2 linked regions of the Tribolium castaneum genome follow. The protein of the gene in region 1 interacts with the protein of each later gene in a pairwise test. Links are inferred from orthologs where the notes say so. Each region holds a gene or a part of one and is shown on either strand. Other genes may lie near its edges.

The links. The genes of interacting proteins can lie anywhere in the genome.
Region 2: the proteins of slo (region 1) and alpha-Catr interact in a two-hybrid assay, tested with the Caenorhabditis elegans proteins (2 studies listed by BioGRID, with this or other methods). The link is inferred for Tribolium castaneum from reciprocal best matches to the Caenorhabditis elegans genes slo-1 and ctn-1.

The regions. Positions count from the first base shown.
Region 1 is NC_087400.1:8,503,124-8,509,540, forward strand, and holds the start of slo (calcium-activated potassium channel slowpoke), read left to right. Parts: upstream 1-2,548; 5' UTR 2,549-2,745; coding exon 2,746-3,069; intron 3,070-6,417. UniProt on the Caenorhabditis elegans protein: Potassium channel activated by both membrane depolarization or increase in cytosolic Ca(2+) that mediates export of K(+). Its activation dampens the excitatory events that elevate the cytosolic Ca(2+) concentration and/or depolarize the cell membrane.
Region 2 is NC_087394.1:28,275,455-28,282,014, reverse strand, and holds the start of alpha-Catr (alpha-catulin), read left to right. Parts: upstream 1-2,640; 5' UTR 2,641-2,723; coding exon 2,724-2,810; intron 2,811-6,560. Other genes in the region: uncharacterized protein Zcchc7, read left to right, coding at 1-571, 625-818, 1,293-1,430, 1,481-2,440. UniProt on the Caenorhabditis elegans protein: Required for slo-1 potassium ion channel clustering at presynaptic terminals and in egg-laying muscles; clustering of slo-1 mediates the intoxicating and sedatory effects of ethanol on worms.

The DNA.
Region 1 (6,417 bases):
TGAAGAAAAATGTCGTGCGAAATTAATAATCACTTTCCCAGAAACGGATTTTATATACAAAGGTTAAACGTCAAAAAGGGTGCATTTATTTCAAGAGATCTGTTTTATTTTCTTATTTGAGAAGGATTTATAAGAAAGTCCTAGAAGTATAAATTTTATCCTTAAACTCTTTCATGTGCAGCTAGTACAAGAACTTAGGAAAATTGTATTTGAACACAGATTAGAGTTATCTTTCTTTATCAGAACCTAAATGCAAGTAGACAACAACTTTACTCAGAAAATTTTATTCAGTGATGAAGTCCTATTCTCTAACAATGATAGTGCACAACTGCCACTACTGTGCTTAGAAAAATCCACTGTGGATATTTGAAAATTTCCAAGGAACTCTTTTGGTGAACGTTTGGTGTGGCCTCTCGCTTCTTTGTGAATCACATAGTTGGGCCTTTTCTCTACCTCGAAAAATAAGCAAGGCCAACATTTTGACTTCCTGTTTATTGTTGTAACTTCTGATTTTGAAAAAACTGTTTGCCTATCTTTGATGAAATCTTTCATTTTCATTACATTTTGTATTGGTATTTACACAGCAAAGACTTTTCTACTTTCTCTATCATTCTGCGAGAACTGAATGACACTAATGATCACTAATGATTCTTCTCTGAGCTGATGTCAGTGACATAAGATGGTAGATAACTTGGATTCGGTGTTGGGACACTTGCGTCTTTTTACCTGAAGTGGGTTAGATGCGCCCGATCCGGAATCAAATCTATTACCTAACTGTGACTGAGAGTCTGGTGGGTCACTTGCGCCCCCATATGCTCAGTACTTATGGAAAAACTGAACAAGAAAGATAGATATTGACAGAATTTTGAATCCTTTTTTTTATCAAATTTTGTAACAATTAATTCAATTCTCTAGTTGATTCAAAGATGGACAAAGGTGGTCCGACAATATGTAATGTAAAAACTTTTCTTTAAAGCGCCATTACGGAGTCAGTTGCATAAAGAAGTATTTCTGAATTTACCAGTTCCTAAAAAGTATTTAATTACTACGAGAGGTGAGCTGCGGCTAAATACCGTAATTTTTTAACATAAAAAATATGAAAAATTTAAAATTTTAATTTTTGAATTCTTTGACAAATCTACTGAAGCCCAACAATGTTTAAGGCGATCCCTGAGAACTGTCAAAATGATCAAAAATCCATAAGATCATACTTTTACACATATCTCAAAATCGACAACAATTTTCAACCAGAAACCATTGTACTGCCTTCATCTGGCACTTCAAACTAGATTTTTAAAGCGGTAATATTTAAAAAATCTTTTTCTCAGAGAAATTTTTCTAAAGGTTGTTTTTTCCTTGCTATTGCTAGTATCGGGTATCAATTTTAGCATGCAAATGATGTGCGTGAATGGTGGGTGTATGTTTTTCCGATCTGTGTAGATCTTGCGTTTGGCACCCAAGTCAAAACTTTATCAGATCAGCATACCCAAAAATACACGAATTCAATTCTAAATGGAAAATCTGTAGATTTGTGGGAAATTGATTCCTAATCATTTTGCTTTTTATTTGGTACTGCTCCGTTGTCGATTTTCTGGGATATACAGAGTGCTCAAAAACTGGCGCACCAACTCAGTGGTACGTTATTGAGAAGCAAGTGCAGATTATGGGAAAAATGTTGAAAAAATTCCTAAAGTCATATTTTAAAAATCTGGAGCTACAAACTTATTGTGTTTAATTTCTTTGGTTTTCATTATTTTTTATGATTTTATGTTTCATACCAGGTAATCGTTCCGTAACAAAACAATGAATAATTATTTTTAAATTTACTATCAGATTTTGGCAGTTTTTTTAATTTAAAAAAAATAAAATTCATCCAAAAAATCACAATGTGTAGATGTGCCAACACTGGGAATTATTTCCTAGGAAACTGTTTCAAAAATAATTTATTTTTATTGTTGCTCAAATTCTATTGCGATTATGACTGTTAGACAACGTTGCCACATATCATTTATCTAAAATCCGTTATTTATCAATAACGTTAATACAAAGAATGTTTTTACTATTTTTACCTTTATATGTAACCAGTTCTCTACCACACACCATTGAGTTGGTGCGCCAGTTTTTGAGCACGCTATATATAAAAGTAGGAACACATGTTTTTGGATCGTTTTGACAGTTCTTAGGGGCCGCCTTGTATTGTAGTTTATACACCGAAAAGACTTCTCTACTTTCTCTATCATTCCTCGAAAATTGAATGGCAATAATGATCATTCTCTGCGCTAATGTCGGAGTGACATAAGTTGATAACTTGGATTCAACTTGCTAATCCTAATTTAAATTGGATCAAAGGCATAAATGAAATATGTTTTTTTGATTGCATCGGCAGGTCGTCAGGCTCTTTATTTTATCCGAATCACTCTGTATGCCACTGCGTAAAGTGAGCCTGTGTTAAAAAAACTTGAAGAAAAATGTCGTGCGTCCACGCGAAGTCAAGTGGCTGTAGGTCTGTGTTGATCAGTTGTTTGCGGCGCGCCGCCTCTGTGTTGTCGTCTCGGCGCACGCCGCCAGGGCGTCCTTCGTATTGATTCCCGCATGATCCTGTATAGCAGCGGGGCGACGTCGGCGTCGCGTCAGTTGCGCTCGGAGCTGCTCGCCGTCGACAGCACGTCTCCTCTCCGTCGCGGATGCGAGCACCTCGGTGAGTGTACGACGACGGTGGCGCGAGTGGATGCCGCCTAGCGCGGGATGACGAGCGAAGAGGCGGCGACCGAGCCGCCCATCTCCAGCACCGCCACCCCGGACCCATGCCTCGACGAAAGGAAATACTGGTGCTTCCTGCTTTCGAGCATCTTCACCTTCCTGGCCGGCCTCCTCATCGTGCTGGTGTGGCGGCTGTTCGCCTTCCTCTGCTGCCGCAAGGAGGTGCAGTACGGGCCCAATGACCCGAAGCAGAAGGAGCAGAAGGCCGCCAGGCAGGGCAAGCAGGAGTTCGAGGGGACCTTCATGACGGAGGCCAAGGACTGGGCGGGAGAGCTCATTTCGGGACAGACCACCACCGGAAGGATATTGGTAAGAGACGAGCTGTCTGCCGACATGACGCAAGATGGGGGAGTTACGCCCACCGGGGGCAAATCACCAAATTACAACGGCTTTTTTGGGGAAAGGTTAACACGATTTATTGATTCGATCGAAAATCGATAATGGAAAGAAAATTCTGATACTTTGACTAAATGTCGTGAAGAGCAAGAAAATATTTGACAGTCTGACCCAGATGGCGCATTCATTGCTAACATATACCTACATATGGAACTCATTCAGCTAATCCCAGGACATATTTCCAGTTTATATAAATTCAAGCTCCATGCAGCAAACAAAATTATGGTAAATTACGTCTTCCTAACTAATGACGTGCATCATTATGACCTCAATGTATGACACAAATACAGCAAGTCTCTGCCAACATTATAAAAAATTTAGGTGAAAAAGGTTATTTTGATACGAATTGACTACAAAAAGGACAATTATTTACCAGTCTATTCTAAACCTTGTCAAATCAAAAATATCAATAACATGAAATCAAACATTTTTGAATAGGAACATGCAGTGGCGTATTTAGGTCCATTGACGCCCCTGCCTAAGACAACATTTATTGATTAATTTATAGAATAAGAACAAATGTACAAACCCCGTAAATGAACAATTTTTATTAACACAGAGAGATTTTTGTCGTACTTTGTAATACGGTGCGTTCAAAAAGCCTTTAGATCAACTCTTGCTGTGGAATTTAGATTGATAGATTATCGTTTTATTCTATTGAAGCTGTTAAAGTTCGTAGTAATCGTAAGTAATCAAAATACGTTCAAAATTGCGTCGTAATAAAGCGATCAGTAATAAATTCGATTTTGATCAGTAAAAAATAATAATTTTCGCACAGTAAAAAATTTAAATGACAAGTAAACTACGCTCAGTATTTTAGTAAAATTCGTACAGTTTAAATAATAAACGCCCAGTAGCTAGCTTGCAGGCTGGGGCGAATTCTACACTCTCTAGTTTTGAGATGCTATTATTTACTGCGCATTTATTATTTTTACTTTGCATCTATTATTTTTACTGTGCATTTATTATTTTTACTGCACAGTTATTATTTTTACTGTGCATTTATTATTTTTACTATGAAATTGTTATTTTTACTGTGCATTTACTATATTTACTGTGGACTTATTATTTTTACTGTGCATTTATTATTTTTACTGTGCAATTGTTATTTTTACTATGCATTTGTTATTTTTACTCTGCAAATATTATTTTAACTGTGCAGTTATTATTTTTATTGTGCATTCATTATTTTTACTGTGCATTTATTATTCTTACTATGCAATTGTTATTTTTACTGTGCATTTATTATTTTAACAGTGCATTTATTATTTTTACTGTGCATTTGTTATTTTACTGTGCATTTGTTATTTTTACTGTGCATCTATTATTTTTACTGTGCATTTATTATTTTTTTTGTGCATTTATTGTTTTTACTGTGCATTTGTTATTTTACTGTGCATTTGTTATTTTTACTGTGCATTTATTATTTTTACTGATCAAAAATACTTGTCGTTTGAATAAAATACTGTGCATTTAATTTGTACTTTTCAAAATTTCACAGCAAGAGTTGATCTAAAGACTTTTTGAACGCACTGTACAAATCACCCTTTAAAATTTTAAGTATCACTTCTTTTGTGAAACTTTAAATGAACTGTTAAATGCATAAACTGCTAGATATTGATGTTTTAATATACATCTTTATATTTATATTTATATTTTATATTTTTATTTATATTTATCTTTATATTTTTTCAATCACTTTATTTGAACGAAATAGCAAATTCAGTTCTCCAAAATTCAAGAGAGTTTTAAAAATTAAATTAAAAATCTGAAAAAATTCTTCGTAATGAAACCAAATAAATCTGTGGTTTTCTAGGATATCTTTTAAAAAAATACCCTGAAATTAATAAAAAATTTTTTTTACGAAAAACCTACACATATTTACGACTTTTTTTGTATAAAACGAGTATTATGTTGTCGTTGACTTTTTTCAAAGACATTTAGGTCACAAAGCTACAACTAAAAACTTCTTAAAACTCATTAATCAAACAATTAAGAACTTAAGAAGTAAAAAATGCGACGATAACTAAAAATTTGATCAATTTATTAAAGCTGCACTGGGCTATTGCTCATTTAGCCCATATGTAAATATGCTTCTGGGTTAATGGTTTGTTTTTAGAATGTTGTCGAATTATTAATTTGCCCATGTAATTGCAGGCACAATACTTTTTTTAATTGGCGTTCAGCTTCCAAAATTAGTTGCAGCAGTTTTATCGATTATATAGATGACCCAGAACTTGCATCAGTCATTTCATTAGCAAAATTAATAATTACTTTCCCAGATTCGTATTTTATAAACAAAGGTTAAAGGTCAAAAAAATTGCATTTATTTCAAGAGATCTGTTTATTTTTCCTTATTTCTTTATTTGAGAAGCATTTATAAGGAAATCCTGACCTAAAAAACAGTAAATTGAAATAACAGTGTCTTATTTGACATTTCTTCAAATCAGTCAAACTAATAATTACTTCTTGAGTCAATATAATCCAAGCCTTTTGTTTCTAAGGATATTTTAATCGCCTTATCACCTTAGAAACGATAATCATATTGAAAAGCAAGGATAACTATATTTTCTATGGTTTTCCAGTTTGAAACACGCTATAAATTTTAAGTTGGAATTAAAAAGAGCTCTAATTTTTTACCTGAAATTAAAAAGGGCAAAATTTTAGGACCATTTAAGAATTTTTTTATTTGCGCCATTTATTTAAGAATTTATAATTCTGACATAAAAAACAGTAAATTAAAGTAAAAGTGTCTTTTCAAAAACTAAGCTTTTTTTTAACTTCTTTAAATTAGTCAAAGTAAATTGGGTTTTAACACTTTTTTAAATTCAAAAAACTTTATAAAAAATTTTAGCCATAGAGTACACAAATTTTAGGTAGAAACCGAAGAAACTAAATTTTACTGAGATTTAAGGAAAGAAACTCCTGTGTACCGAATAACTAATAAGAGGTTTTTTATTTGGAGGACCAAACGATCGTTTTTTTAAACCTGTTTCTAATACAAGATAATTGTTAAATTCATCATTACCTTTATTAGACAATAAGAGGTCGGAATTAAAGTCTTAACTTAAAAGAGCAGTGAACTAAAGTAAAATGTAAGTTTTGATAACAAACTGTTATTTTTTTTCTAAATTTTAAGCTCCTATAATCTTTCAGTTGATAACAAAAAAACTCAAAATTTTACGGATATTTACAGAAAAACTGTTTACAAAAAGAATTTTTTTATATACAGAATATAAAAAAAACGTTTTTAAAACGAAG
Region 2 (6,560 bases), on another chromosome or scaffold:
CAGAAAAATAAGAAAAAGAAGAGTGAGAAAGAGGAGACTGTTGATTGCACGGAGGCGGTTCAGAAGAAGAGAAAATCGAGCCAAATGGAAGATGCAGGTGATAGTGTCTTGAAGAAGAAATCTAAGAATAAGAAAAAGTCGCGGACTGCGTCTCCTGAGCTTGAAGCAAATACCAAAAGTGAGCAAAAGTGTGAAGGTGTTGACGTTTTGCTCCCCAGTTTAAAAAAAGTAACAGAAACTGACGAAACAATTAAAAAGGAACATACAGTTAAGGAAGAACCAGAAGTTAAGGAAGAACCGTTGAAGATAAAGTCGCCGAAAGTCGTTGAAAGTGAGGAGTCTGCTATGGACGGGTTTCTTGTCGTTGATGAAACGTTTGCCACCACCACCGACATCAAAACTATCTCATCAGATTCCGATTCGATTTTATCTTCACTTGCTGAAGATCAAGACATTCAATTAATAAATTGTGAGGCGAAATTTGAACCTGACTGTACTGCGTCTACTTCCAAATCCGGTGTACTAAATCTGGCAAATTGTAGTGTCCAAGACCTTCAATTTGTGATGTCGAGTAACTTTGTTTAATTGTTTTGTGTCAGTAATCACGAAAATTAAAAATTGTAGATGATCCTAATCTTTGGACGATATTAGACAGGGATAGGTTTCCTATCAAGTCTCCTGTTGGTAAAAGGTGCAATAAATGCAAAGAGCTGGGTCACATAGCTCTCAAATGTCCAAACAAGCTGGAACCTAAGTGCAAGCTGTGTGGAGAAGGCGGGCATTTCGAACCTCGATGTCCTAACAAGATGTGTACTCAGGTGAGGGATAACGTCGGCTAAAATATTAGGAGGCGATTGAACGTAAATTTTCTACAATGTATGTCTGATAAAGTCGGATAAATACAATCTTTTTTTTTTTCTATTTTTGAGTTACGCATTTATTTTTAAATAAAAATCCACGTTAAAAAAATATTGACAGGTACTATAAAGGTCTGTGCTACAATCTATGCCATTATCATTATCCCGTTTTTTATGAAATCATTTTTCATTAACTAAATTTATCTTATCCAGTTTTGGCTATTATTTATTTTCAAAATTAAAATTCTTATTATTATTATATTTTTATTTTTTTTTATTTTTATATATTCAATAATTTTTAATAAAATAACCGTTGTGCTTTTTTGTCATAATTGTGTATGCTTAAATATTTAAATATAATACTGAATTACATGTCGCCCCCTAGTATTACTCTTCCGTATTTGGAGCGGACCGCAGACTAAACGCGATTTTTAGTGTGGCAAACGTAGTTACTACACCACAGCCTATTGCAGCTTGTGTTTCAAGCTACGAGATTACCAATGCCAAATTTGTTCCATGACTGGTCACGCACCTGAGACTTGCCCAGATCTATGGCGGCGCTACCATTTAACCGTAAGTACATATTTCTCGTAGGTTTGCATTCAATTAATTACTGTGTTTAGACCACTGAGGGTCCGTTGAAAACGTACTCTGGCCCTGCCCTGAAACCAAACTTGTGGTGTTCTGGGTGTGCCCAGCCAGGCCACTTGGAACACATGTGTGACTTTTACAAGTCGATGTATCCACCAACAGACCCGTTTATTAAAAACTATGATCAGGTGTATGATGATGAGAATGAGAATGAGCCACAGGAAGAGGCGCCGCAGCCAGATCCTCAACCGAATTTCGCACCGAACCCACCCCAGAATTATGTAATGCAAGGAGTCAACCAGGGACTTAACTATAACTGCAATTACGACCAATTTGCCAATGCGTTTATCCAAAATGGGATGTTTGTGGCCAACCAACAAAACTTCTACACTAATCAGTTCGCGCCGCAAGACGGTTACATGCAAGGGTATCCGCAATATTCCAACGCCTACACCAGTTTTTGTGACAACTTACCGAAATATATAAGTTTAGCTACTCCACAGCACACTGTGATAGCTACTCCACAGCACACTGTGATAGCTACTCCACAGCACACTGTCAATTTGGAGGCGCCTAGGCCTGAAATCCCTAGCCTAGAATTTGCGACCCCTGCTGAACGAAAAGTACACTGCAACAGCATGTTTTTTTCATCGTCGGGGAGATTGTTGCGACAATTTGTCAGTAGAGAGTTGGCGAAATTGTCCAAAATATCGTTCAATGTAAAGAGATATGTGACAGAATTGAAGAGGAGGCAGGTTCCTCGCGGTGCACGACGACGGGCAGAGTACTACGAGTTGGCCAATATGGTGCTCTTTGGGGTTCTCTGTTTAGGGGATGGGAAATTTCATCTGAACGCTCTGAAACAGCTCAAAATGGACAAGAGCAAGTTGAGTTGTTTCAGACGACAAAAATTGCATAGGGCGTACTGTTTTATTTTCGGATGTGAAAGGCACGACAGTGTAGACTATAATGAACTCATAAGCAGGATTTAATGAATTTTAATTTGCGATTTTTGAATAATTTTTTGTTGAAATAAATACGAATTTTCCGATCTTGGTGTTTTATTTCCAAGGAGTGCTCTTTAAGGGGGTTGCTAGTGTGCGAAAGGTTTGGCTTCCGATCGCGGGATGGCGCTGTTGACAGACAGCCAACTATGAGGTAATCAGCTGATCGTCGATGACATTATTTTCCAAAGCCGACTATGTATTATGACAGGAGGGAGAGAGACTATTGGAAAAACTATGTCTCTGACAGAGACAAACAGTAGTGTAGAAAATGGCAGCAGTAGGTACAACAAATTTTGATTGTTTAGAAATTAAGACACGTAGTATAGAACAAACCCTTCTTCCTCTTATTAAACAGGTAATTTTGTGTTAGCTGCTTTCTGTCATGTGAACTTTAGTTAGCACTTTATTTAGTTAACTTAGGTTTAGAAAATGTGTCTCGCGACATGGGTGTGCACTTTGACAGCTCTCAATTAACGTGCTAGCTCGCATAATTGAATATTGTTATGTATGAAAACATTGTTGCTGTTTATTTATAGCATTGTGTATAGATATTAGATGAACGCTATGCATAAAATAGCTCGAGTTTTTTCAAATAAAGCAGTTTGAGGTTATGTGTTTTGTTTATTTGAAACATGTGATTGTTTATACGCAAGCGTGCTTTATTTATTTATTAAACGCTGCCTAAATAATTCAGACGACGGGTTTGAACCAAAACAAGCCATGTGTCTGTTATTTAACGATTAATTCCTTCGTTAATTGATAATTGACGTTTGACGTCATAGCTTATTGACGTGGTGACAGGTATATAATAAAAAAACGCGCGATTTTATACGAAAAGAGAGAACAGTCTTCCAGTCTTTAAGATTTTCTCTTTGATAAAAAAGTAGCTCCATTCGCACTTTGCATAAATTGATATTCATCTAAAATGGGTCTTTCGTCCAATTTGAGAAGCCTATTTCTAATCAATAAAGTTAGCTTTATAAAGCCTGGGAGATCGTAAATGGGCTTTATGGCAGACTTTTATTGTGTGGAAATTGTGACGTTAACCGTTCTACAGGATTCAGATTGAAAAGTTGATAAGTCGAAATTGCTGCGGACATTCGGCGAAAGGGAGGTTTCTATTGATTTGCAAAAAAAACTTTGAAAAAATTTTTTTAAATACTCGCTAGCTGATGACTGATGAGTTAGAATAGCTAAGCTAACATATTTAATATATATTAAAAAATAAGTACTAATAATAACAATAGCTATTAGCATAATAGCTATTGAATAGTTTTAACTTTGTTCACTTCTTACCAAATCCATTCTCAATCTCAAATTTTAAGGGCAGTTAAGACAATATACCAAAAACTGCGTGTTTTTTTAAGTACATAAATGTACAATAATGTTGTGTAGAAAAAACATGAAGAAGGAGAAAAATCGCAACATAATGCCACTAAAATTAAATACTTATCCTGGAAAAATAAAATTCTAACTTTTATTTTACCGACTAAAATTTATTAAACACATGGACAGTAATAATTACTCCTAATTCAATTCTTGGAGATTGAAAAAACTACTGTCTTGGCGCAGAAATGATGCTTAAGTAATTATAAAACATAAAAGTAAAAATGAAATGTAAAAAAGGAAAAAAACACTATACCAGCTAGTGAAGACTGTGTTCGGCTTGAAGAGGAAAGACAAGAAGAGAAAAAGAGGAAATTGCTTAAAAAAAGATAAATGTGGAGAATATTTCCTCAAGAGTATTTTTAAATTAGGACAATATTTGCGTGAAACAACTAAACTATTAAAATTGCTGTTACTTTATGTAATTGCTAAAATCGTTGGTGAGTATACATTTCTCAAAATGTTTTTTTGAGAGTTTGCGAAAAATAAAATACGTACGAAAAATACTAAACGTAAAACTGATATTTATTAAAATAAAGTTTTAAATGAAGCTAGTTTTTTAAAATGAACTATGTGAAAAAGAAAAAGTACTTTCTGTACTGGTTAGTGATGACTTCTGCTTGAACAAAAGAAGCAAGAAGAGAAAAAGAAAAAAGCTGAAGAATTACTCAGAAAAATAAGATAGAAGTGGAGAAAGTCGTTGCTAAATGGTGGCAGTTTAGAAAAAAATATTTTAAACGCTGCAAGAAGTGTCAAGTTTTGGTTAAAATAACCTTGATTGGAAGCGTATTTTTAGTTTCAGATTACTATACTTAAATTTCTAAGAAAAAATGAAGTATAGCAGTCTTTACTAATGCGTATAACATCCAATCGTCATTGTCAAACGTTTGTAAATTTTTTTTTCTTACGATTATTATTATACTTTCTATTTTCTAAGTTATGAACACATTGACTGAAACTACGTAATTGGAAATATAAAAAAAAACTTGGAAGAGCGTTAATATACATTTTTCTAATATTTGTAAGAAAATAAAATAGCAAAAAATGAGAATTAACACACTAAACGTGTGATAGTTACATTTACTTAAATACTTATACGTATTTATACGTATAAAATTAACTACATGTGTACTACTTATACAGTTTGTGAAGTCAACCACTCCTCGCACAGTTATTCTGCCTGTAGTTTTGTTTTCCAGGCCGTTGCACAGTAATAGGTGGCGCTTTTGTTTATCTGAATCCTAAATTCTCTGTTTTCACTGTTTTAATGTGAGCAAACAAACGTTATCTACGTACATATGTTTCAAACAAAGGGTTGAAAAAGCTGGAATATCAAATTTTAGGTATACGTACTTATATTCGTAAGTGAACGGAAGTTTGTCTTACAAAACCATAAAATAAGGAGGAGAATAGATTTTTTTAAACTGACGCTCGAACAAAGCTTGTTTTTCAATGTGATGTAAACGAGATATTAATTAAGACAAGGAGATTGCTGTTTAGAAATATTTGCATGTAACAACGTCTTACATAAATTTAGAATTTTTATTACGAAAGTTTAAATTTTTGTTATCTAAAACTGAGACCTCATTAATTCCATAACGTTATTTCTGCAGCTATTCAGCAACAAACACTGTTCGGAGTCTACTCACGGATAACAACTTGCCAACTTTATTATTGTTGGAGTTGCTTATCAAACTTGATATTTTTTCTTTGCGAGTTTCAATGAATAATAAGCAGGTGCGTAGGCAGATGCATTTTTGCATATTTGAATAAAACATTAATTGTGTACGAGTAAGCGCCTGATTGTTTCATACCCAATTAATTTGAAAATAACAGTTGTGAAAGTGGGTATAAGTTAAGTTACGATTGTATGCTCATTCATCCACACATCCGGGATTTTTATTTATTTAGCGTGGGATTAATTCGTCAATTTGGCGAAGTTTCCTGAAATGAAAGCGATATGACAAATTCACAAGGATTTGCTCTGATCTTGAATCTGGCTCGGTGTGTTGGCAAACGCATTGACTGTTGACCATACGATTCAGGAAATCGCAACGATAAATCTTTCACTCGAATTCATTGCGTCCCTGTCGATTCTATCGATTTCCAGTGCCAATAAAGCACGCCTGATCTTCCATTTGCAAGGCTAATATTACCATAACTCGCGATAAACGATCGTCGAAATTAATTTTAACTGGAATTATAATCAATTGTGTATTTTATTAGACGTTCCTAATTTATTGCTCGTGACGGTAATAAACTAAACGGAAATTCCGGCTTGTCTGACATTACTATTTTTATCACGGAACATTCGTGATTGATCGAAGACTTAATTTACTGTTCAAACTTTGCCAATTTTACCCATAATGCGGGAATTTATAACAATGATCAAGGATTTTTCTGTGTGCATCATCTTTCGGAAGTTTCCCTGTGGCAGATTCATAAATCTTCAAACTATTCCTTTTGTGCGTCTTAATTGGAAAACTTTAATCCAAATTTTATGGATTTTGTGCAAAGCCGTACAAAGGCTTGACTATTTACATTTCTTTAATCAGCTGAACTTTACGGTCTTCGCCAATTGTGTGAAACTCTGTCATTCAGGAAGAGTTCAATGTCGTCTAATTTTGGCGTTTTATACTACGTGTGATGAAATCGGTTTTGTGGTCTAGTGAGCCATAAAAGTTGTGCCAGATTGATTCACAACGGATAGCTTCATGAA